Linked DNA regions of Saccharomyces cerevisiae S288C. The protein of the gene in region 1 interacts with the protein of each later gene in a biochemical or structural test. Each region holds a gene or a part of one and is shown on either strand. Other genes may lie near its edges. The genes, in order: SIZ1 and SAW1.

The links.
Region 2: of the proteins of SIZ1 (region 1) and SAW1, one has a biochemical effect on the other in vitro, tested with the Saccharomyces cerevisiae proteins (one study listed by BioGRID).

What each region holds. Positions count from the first base shown.
Region 1 is NC_001136.10:1,287,585-1,292,947, forward strand, and holds SIZ1 (SUMO ligase SIZ1), read left to right. Parts: upstream 1-1,821; coding exon 1,822-4,536; downstream 4,537-5,363. Other genes in the region: TRAPPII-specific subunit TRS120, read right to left, coding at 1-354; ADE8 (phosphoribosylglycinamide formyltransferase), read right to left, coding at 631-1,275; STE14 (protein-S-isoprenylcysteine carboxyl O-methyltransferase), read right to left, coding at 4,788-5,363. UniProt on the Saccharomyces cerevisiae protein: Acts as an E3 ligase mediating SUMO/Smt3 attachment to septins and PCNA. May be involved in chromosome maintenance.
Region 2 is NC_001133.9:92,744-95,972, reverse strand, and holds SAW1 (DNA-binding protein SAW1), read right to left. Parts: upstream 1,287-3,229; coding exon 501-1,286; downstream 1-500. Other genes in the region: aminophospholipid-translocating P4-type ATPase DRS2, read left to right, coding at 1-343; FRT2 (Frt2p), read right to left, coding at 1,487-3,073. UniProt on the Saccharomyces cerevisiae protein: Catalyzes 3'-non-homologous tail removal of RAD1/RAD10-dependent single-strand annealing recombination intermediates. Plays a key role in targeting RAD1/RAD10 complex to 3'-flap cleavage substrate in recombination.

The DNA.
Region 1 (5,363 bases):
TGGATACTTCTCCTTCATGAAATTCAAATTGGTCAAGGGGTCACTGTAATCGTTTACCAGCCCAATAATGACAAATGTTTTCCGAAATGGCTCAAAATCATACAGAAACAACTCCAATGCATCGTCATGATCTATGGTCAAGAAGTCGAAAAATAACTTCCCATGTGGAAAGCCTTGCGGTGTGAAGATAGGGCTGTCAATGGGGGTTACATCAGACAGATGAATTTCGTTGAATTCAGAAAGTTTCTGTACCGCATTATTAAACTCTTTTCGCGTCCAATGGCCAATTGGTATCACTAAGGTCCTAATCTTAGATGGGCCAACATAGCTTGGGAAATGCTTAAGAATATTCATGGTTTTTGTCTCCCTGTAACAGGTTGTGAGCCGCACCTTAAACCAGTTATACTAGAACCGTTTAAACTACAATCTGGCCTGATTTTAGTTTTGCAATAACACGATTAAGCGTTTACACATGCACATTCATATATAAGTATACGTATTTACACACATTTTATTCGAAACCTTTAAGATCGTTTTGTCACAATCCATGATCATGATTTACGACGCGAGATGTTTCGCGCCTCACTTTGAAGAATGCCAAATATAAAAGTATAAATATGGGAACTATTCTTATTTGTGAAGCTGCTGTAAAACCTTATATGTAGCTTCTACAATCGCGATGTGCTCAGCATCGTGTACCCTTTGCTCGTACTGCTCTAGTGTTTCTTCGCCAGGTATGATTTCTAGCTTTTTTACCACCAATGGCTCACCCTTGTCGACCTCCTCGATGACATAGTGCACCATGCATCCGGCCGTCAGAGGCTTGTTCTCGTCCTGACATTTGCGCCATGCCATTTCAATTGCGTGTGTGGTACCATCGAAACAACCTGGTAGCGCTGGATGCAGATTTAATATCGGCACAGATTGCAGTTGGCTCAAGAAAGTAGATCCAAGGATCAATAACCAGCCCGCGCAGATGATAACGTCAGGCTTTTCCTCGAGCACTAGTTTTGCGAGGTCGTTCTCAAACTGGGATCTTGCCTTGGCCCTTGCGGCTTTGTCCTCCTTCGCAATACCCTTTGTATATGGGTATAGCGAACAAACCTTTGTGGGGATATTATTGTCCGCTGCCCTAGTTAACCCGTATGCCTTCTTGCTGGAAGATATGACAGAGACAATATGAGCATCCTCGCCTAATTGGCCCTGCTTTTGGGCATCGATCAAGGCTTGCAAGTTGGAACCTGAGCCCGAAATTAATACGACAATTCTGGCCATAGCTTTTGGAAAGATTATTGATGTGTGTTGGCTCTCACCTGCGCTTGCTGCAAGTTAAATCATCAACCTTGAGGCTAGGAGCGTTATTCAACTTTAGAAGTGTCTTCTCTTCATAAACTACTCTATATAACTTTCCTCTTGCTGGAATAAAAAACAGGTCAGAGTCACTAGCAACGAGTCACTCATTCGAATCCTTGCTGACGCTTTTAGTCTTTATGCTGAAATCTATCTTCGAAGTCGGAAGGAAAATGCATTTTTAAACTATCACTAGAACTACCATTTTAGAGCGAGCAGAAGGTTCCTCTTTTCTTAAACAAGTATAATTTTCCTTTTTGGATTGTACTTTATATTCTTACACTAAACGGCCCCTAGATGTCACCTGAGCTGTAGTCAATGTATACACCCATTCACCGCACCAGATAGTAAGTTGAAAAGTGTATCATCTTTAATATGAATATGAAAGAATGAAGTGGAGTTCATCCATATTTCACAAGAAAAGAAGACTCCAACTCAAACAGTTGAGTGTTCCATATACATTCTGTTTCAATGATAAATTTAGAGGATTACTGGGAAGATGAAACGCCTGGGCCTGATAGGGAACCGACTAATGAACTAAGAAACGAGGTGGAGGAAACCATCACTCTGATGGAACTGCTGAAAGTGTCCGAATTGAAGGATATTTGCAGGTCTGTATCTTTCCCGGTTTCCGGTCGCAAGGCCGTTCTACAGGACCTTATCAGGAATTTCTTGCAGAACGCTTTAGTAGTAGGCAAGTCTGATCCTTATAGAGTTCAAGCCGTTAAATTTCTGATAGAACGGATCAGAAAGAATGAACCTTTGCCTGTTTATAAAGATCTTTGGAACGCTTTAAGAAAGGGTACCCCATTGAGTGCTATCACAGTACGTTCTATGGAGGGGCCTCCCACGGTGCAGCAGCAATCACCTTCCGTTATTAGGCAGTCTCCCACTCAACGGCGGAAAACGTCTACCACATCTTCCACATCTCGTGCACCACCACCTACAAATCCAGATGCCTCTTCTTCTTCATCATCTTTTGCTGTACCGACAATTCATTTTAAAGAGTCTCCATTTTACAAAATACAAAGGCTAATCCCTGAATTAGTGATGAACGTGGAAGTCACAGGCGGAAGAGGTATGTGCTCTGCGAAATTTAAATTGTCCAAAGCAGACTATAATCTATTAAGTAACCCGAATAGCAAACACAGGCTATACTTATTTTCTGGGATGATTAATCCATTAGGATCCCGAGGTAATGAACCCATCCAATTTCCATTCCCAAATGAATTAAGGTGCAATAATGTTCAAATCAAAGATAATATAAGAGGTTTCAAGAGTAAGCCGGGCACAGCTAAGCCGGCGGATTTAACGCCTCATCTCAAACCTTATACTCAACAAAACAATGTGGAGCTGATATATGCCTTCACCACGAAGGAATACAAGCTATTTGGGTACATTGTAGAAATGATCACTCCGGAGCAACTCCTGGAAAAAGTATTACAGCATCCAAAAATTATTAAACAAGCCACGTTACTTTACTTGAAAAAAACACTTCGGGAGGATGAAGAAATGGGCTTGACTACCACATCTACTATCATGAGTCTGCAATGTCCAATTTCGTACACAAGAATGAAATACCCTTCAAAATCAATAAATTGTAAGCATCTGCAATGTTTTGATGCATTATGGTTCCTACACTCCCAACTACAAATTCCTACGTGGCAATGCCCAGTATGTCAAATTGATATAGCTTTGGAAAATTTAGCAATTTCCGAATTTGTTGATGACATTTTACAGAACTGTCAAAAAAACGTTGAACAGGTAGAACTTACTTCTGATGGTAAGTGGACAGCCATATTGGAAGACGATGATGACAGCGACAGTGACAGCAATGATGGTAGTAGAAGCCCAGAAAAAGGTACTTCAGTATCGGATCATCATTGTTCTTCTTCACATCCAAGTGAACCGATTATCATAAATCTCGATAGTGATGATGACGAACCAAATGGAAATAATCCTCATGTTACTAATAATCATGATGATAGCAACAGGCATAGTAATGATAACAATAATAATAGTATCAAAAATAATGATAGTCATAATAAAAATAATAATAATAATAATAATAACAATAATAATAATAATGATAATAATAATAGTATCGAAAATAATGATAGTAATAGTAATAATAAACATGATCATGGTAGTCGCAGTAATACTCCCAGTCATAATCATACTAAAAATTTAATGAACGATAATGATGACGATGATGATGATCGACTTATGGCGGAAATAACTAGCAATCACCTTAAAAGTACTAATACAGATATTCTAACTGAAAAAGGTTCAAGTGCACCCTCGAGAACCCTGGATCCAAAAAGTTATAACATAGTTGCTTCAGAAACTACTACTCCGGTGACAAACAGGGTTATTCCTGAGTACCTCGGAAACAGTTCCAGTTATATTGGTAAACAATTGCCGAACATTCTGGGAAAAACGCCTTTAAATGTGACTGCTGTTGATAATTCATCCCACTTAATCTCTCCAGATGTTAGCGTATCATCCCCAACGCCAAGAAACACCGCTTCAAATGCAAGTTCGAGCGCTCTCAGTACCCCTCCCTTAATAAGAATGAGTTCATTAGATCCCAGGGGATCCACTGTTCCCGATAAAACAATAAGGCCTCCCATAAATTCCAACAGTTATACTGCATCGATATCAGATTCATTTGTCCAGCCTCAAGAATCTTCAGTTTTTCCACCACGTGAACAGAATATGGATATGTCCTTTCCTTCCACCGTGAACTCAAGATTTAATGATCCACGTTTGAATACCACAAGATTCCCTGATTCAACATTGCGTGGGGCAACTATTTTGTCGAATAATGGGCTTGATCAAAGGAATAACTCTCTACCAACAACAGAAGCAATCACGAGGAATGACGTCGGGCGACAAAATTCTACGCCTGTACTTCCCACGTTGCCCCAGAACGTCCCAATTCGTACAAACTCTAACAAGTCTGGGCTTCCTTTGATAAACAATGAAAACAGTGTCCCCAATCCTCCCAACACTGCAACCATACCGTTGCAGAAGTCCAGACTCATTGTAAATCCATTCATTCCAAGGAGGCCTTACTCTAATGTACTGCCCCAAAAAAGACAACTTTCTAATACATCCTCAACTTCACCCATAATGGGTACATGGAAAACGCAAGATTATGGAAAGAAATACAACAGTGGTTAAAAACGAGGCTAAAATTGGACGGTTCCGTCCAGCTCTTTCATGAAATATTTTCTTTGTAATTGTGCATATGACCTTCATTTTCTATAATTTTCCGTTCGAAAAAGAAATATTTTCTTCTTTTCAATACTCAAAGGCAATATCACTGTTTGCATTCCCCTAGCATTTATTACCTACCAAATACAGATGCACAAGATTAGATAAAATCTTACATAACACAAAAATCCAGTCCATAACTAACACAATCATTACTATTATATAAAAGGTATTCCGACACCAACCTTATTCTTGTATTCTATGTATTCCGCGCTAAAGAACTCTATCAAATATTTTTCTTCCACACGAATTCTATCACTGAAAAATTTCCAAAGTACAAAAATGAAAATAACCAATGATAGGGGATTTAGAAGCAGTAGCTGAGTGCCAATTGCCCACCAAAAGAACCCAAGATAACTTGGATGTCTTGACCAGGAGTAAACGCCAGTTTTCACTAAAACATGATCGGACTCCTTCTTGGTCTTCACAATATGAGAAAAGGAATGTCCCGCAGTATGCATAGCAATAGTTCTGGTATATTGTCCCAGAATAACTAGAAGACATCCAAGTACTGTACAAAGCTTGGTAGCTAGAGAGTAGCTAAAAATTTTCAGATCAGGAAAAAGAAAGCTTTCTACGAGGCATTCCAGAATAGCAAAGGAATGTGCCGCCATGTAACTTTTGCCGTTGTTCAGAAGAAAGGACTCTGAATGTACCTTAAGAGGATTGTATTTAGCTGTAATATAATACTCCAAAAAATGGAATAAGGACAGGGCAATAATAAAGAGGTTAAA
Region 2 (3,229 bases), on another chromosome or scaffold:
GAAATACAATATCAGCGACTCTAGGCCGCACGTTCAGCAATTTCAAAATGCCATCAGGAAGGTGAGGCAAGTGCAAAGAATGAAAAAACAAAGAGGATTTGCCTTTTCACAGGCTGAAGAGGGTGGGCAAGAAAAAATTGTCAGAATGTATGATACTACTCAAAAGAGAGGTAAGTACGGTGAATTACAAGATGCTTCGGCGAACCCCTTTAATGACAATAATGGACTGGGAAGTAACGACTTTGAAAGTGCAGAACCGTTCATTGAAAATCCATTTGCTGATGGTAATCAAAATTCAAATAGATTCAGTTCTTCGAGAGATGATATTTCATTTGATATATGAGGCACAGAAACAAAGAGCAGAAGACAAAAAATACAAAAATAAAAATAAGATAAAAAGAAAAGTCATTATTACCATTACTGAAATATGTACATTTACCATAAAATATATCCGTTATATAGAAGTTATAATATTAAGCCATCACTTTGTTATCGGTTTTTCATTCCTCCTGGGGTTGCTTCGACTGGGTACGTACCTTATGTCTTCTAGGCCTATGCAACACATGTACATCAATAATTTCACCTAAATTAATAACAGGCTTGTACATAAATTCTATTACAGGTTTTATATCCTCTTCCACCGGTGTATCCAGGGCATCAGCGTCCCCATTTTCTATTAACAAATTAGGTACCTGGGGCTGTTTTTCTATTTTCCTAGCTAATAACGTTTTGGGTCCTGCATTTAATGAGAAACCGTTTAATGTTAATGTTTGAAACATCAAATAGTGCCTTAAATTGGCGATCTTCTTAATGCTGTTGATGAATATGTCGAGCTCCCACTTATGTTTGTAGTGCAACTTGTATTTGAATTTAGCCAGCCTTGTCACAGACTGGATGTGAGAAGTTACCGCATTATCCGTATCGGCACCTGCAAAAAGTTTGGGCAGAACGTTGATTTGGAAATCAGTAGAATGACCAACTCTTATTTTGCTGAGTACGGAACTGATGATTTCCGGGGACGCTAGTTCGTAAACAATCAATAACAGGTCCTCCTTGATCTCGTCACAAAGATTCTTCTTATCTTGTTGCGATAAATATATTCTTGTATTTGGTGATTTTAAGCAGATTATGGAGTTATTTGATAATAATGGTGCTTCAAATATAGTGGCATTCGACTTATTGCTAGTCTTATCATTGGTTTGAAGGATCTGCTTTCTATTGACAAATATACGTAATGGCAAAACCATGTCCCTGGCTATCTTTACCGTTGCTATACTTGGTGCCATTTTTCACGGTTACTGTGAAGTCCAATATACTCAATCTTCTTGTATTCTTCCCTTTCAGGCCTGTCCTTTTCTATTTCATTGCCCTTTTTTCCACTCATCTTTCCACTTGATTAAAAATACCAGAAGAAGCACATTTTTACATTTATACGTTACATATGAAAAAATCACAGGATCATTTTTTGATATACAAATACTATTTTTTATTTATGCGATACTAGATGCTTGAAGGTATAGCATATGACGATGATGATAATTAAAAAGACAATATCAAGGGCCTCGTTGCGGTATTTAGATGCGAATGTTACATTTTTTTTGGATATCATTAAGGAATTCTCCAAAGACAATAAACTTTCCATTTTCCTCATTACTTCCTTCCTAGAGGCCAACCTGTCTTTGCAAGAAGCCATTCTTTTCTCTAAATCTTGTAATTTTGCCACGTTTGTATTTATTGTATCACTCAAACGTGCCTCAAATGATTCGGGGTTTTCCTTGTCAAAATCCTGTTTCAAATTCATTAAATAATCCTCTTCAACAAGCTCTTTCCATCCAATGGTCCTGGATCTTAAGTCCCTTAGCTCTTTAACGATCTTGTCAAAATTTGCAATGTTTTTAACAAGGTCATTTTCATCTTTCAGAACCTCATCTTTCAAACTGTGCTTTAGTAAAGCTTCTGTCTGCTGTAACTGCAATCCGATATGACGCTGATAGTAGTCTAATTCATCTGAATTTAGCGAAAGATTCGAACTACTATATGTGATATTTCCAGGAGGTTCAAGAGGATCAACAGCCACTGACTGTGAGAATGACGTCGATGATGAAGACGATGAAGAAGAAGACAACGAAGATGAGGACGACTGCGAAAACGATGCATTGCAGGCGTCTTTTGGCGAAAGCCCAATGGGATTAGCAACGGCAGGAGAGGATTCGGAAGCTACAGAGGGCGGTCTTGAGGGCGAAACATGTTTCTTTGGTGAGCTTTCAAGATCATGGTAAAGCAAGCTCTGTAACGATATATCTGTCTGCGTGCTAGAACTCCCGTCTGATGAATGCGAATGATGTGTGGGTCGCTTGGAAGGCTTAGATATAACATTGGGCAATATTGGATCGAAAGCCGGCGCCAGTGCAGACGAATCCTTAGATTGCCCAGACGAAGAAGGCTCCATGGATTTCAAAAACCGGTGAACCAACCTTTTCTTGTCCTTCACGAAGGACCGGGAAGGTGATTTAAGACCGTACTTGTCGTTGTCTTTGTAATGGCGATGGGCTGGGTGCTGCTGGGCTTGCAACATCTTAAATGAGGGAAAATGGTCTTTGGCAGAGTATCCACCATCGAGAGGCTTTGATTCTACACTATGCTGCGGGAATGGTCCTTTAAAGGTGGCGACTACGTTAAATGGGTGTTTTGGCGAGAGTCCAGAAGACTTCATCGTACTGAGACTTCGTACTTTATCTGGTGCTGCGTTGAACATACAATCGCTGAACATTGCGGTCGAGGCAGACGTGTAATCCGGAATAACTTGACGATGCAGTTTATGACGAGCATGATGGTGCTCCATTTCATATTTCTGCTCTTTTTCGTGTAATGCAGCCAAATTACTGTGAGAGGCTTGCCATCCAACGTTTGGCTTAGTTTCAACAGTAGATTTGTGGCCAACATCTGGTGTTCCAGCGTCAATCATTTGCTTTACATCTTCCAGGGGTCTCTTTTCTACACCATCTTTGCTATTGCGATCTGTACCATCTATTCCGCTGCCTTTAGAAGAGCTCTTTATTTGAGCATTTTGCATTGTACCTGGACAACTACTGGACTACGTAAAAAACTGCCATCAATTTGTGTTATTCTTACTCTTTGAGACAATGTTTCATAACAATAGAACAATAGCTTTTTGACCTTCCCCTTATTTTATTTCAAAAGGTAACAGTTAGGGCTATTCTTAAACTTT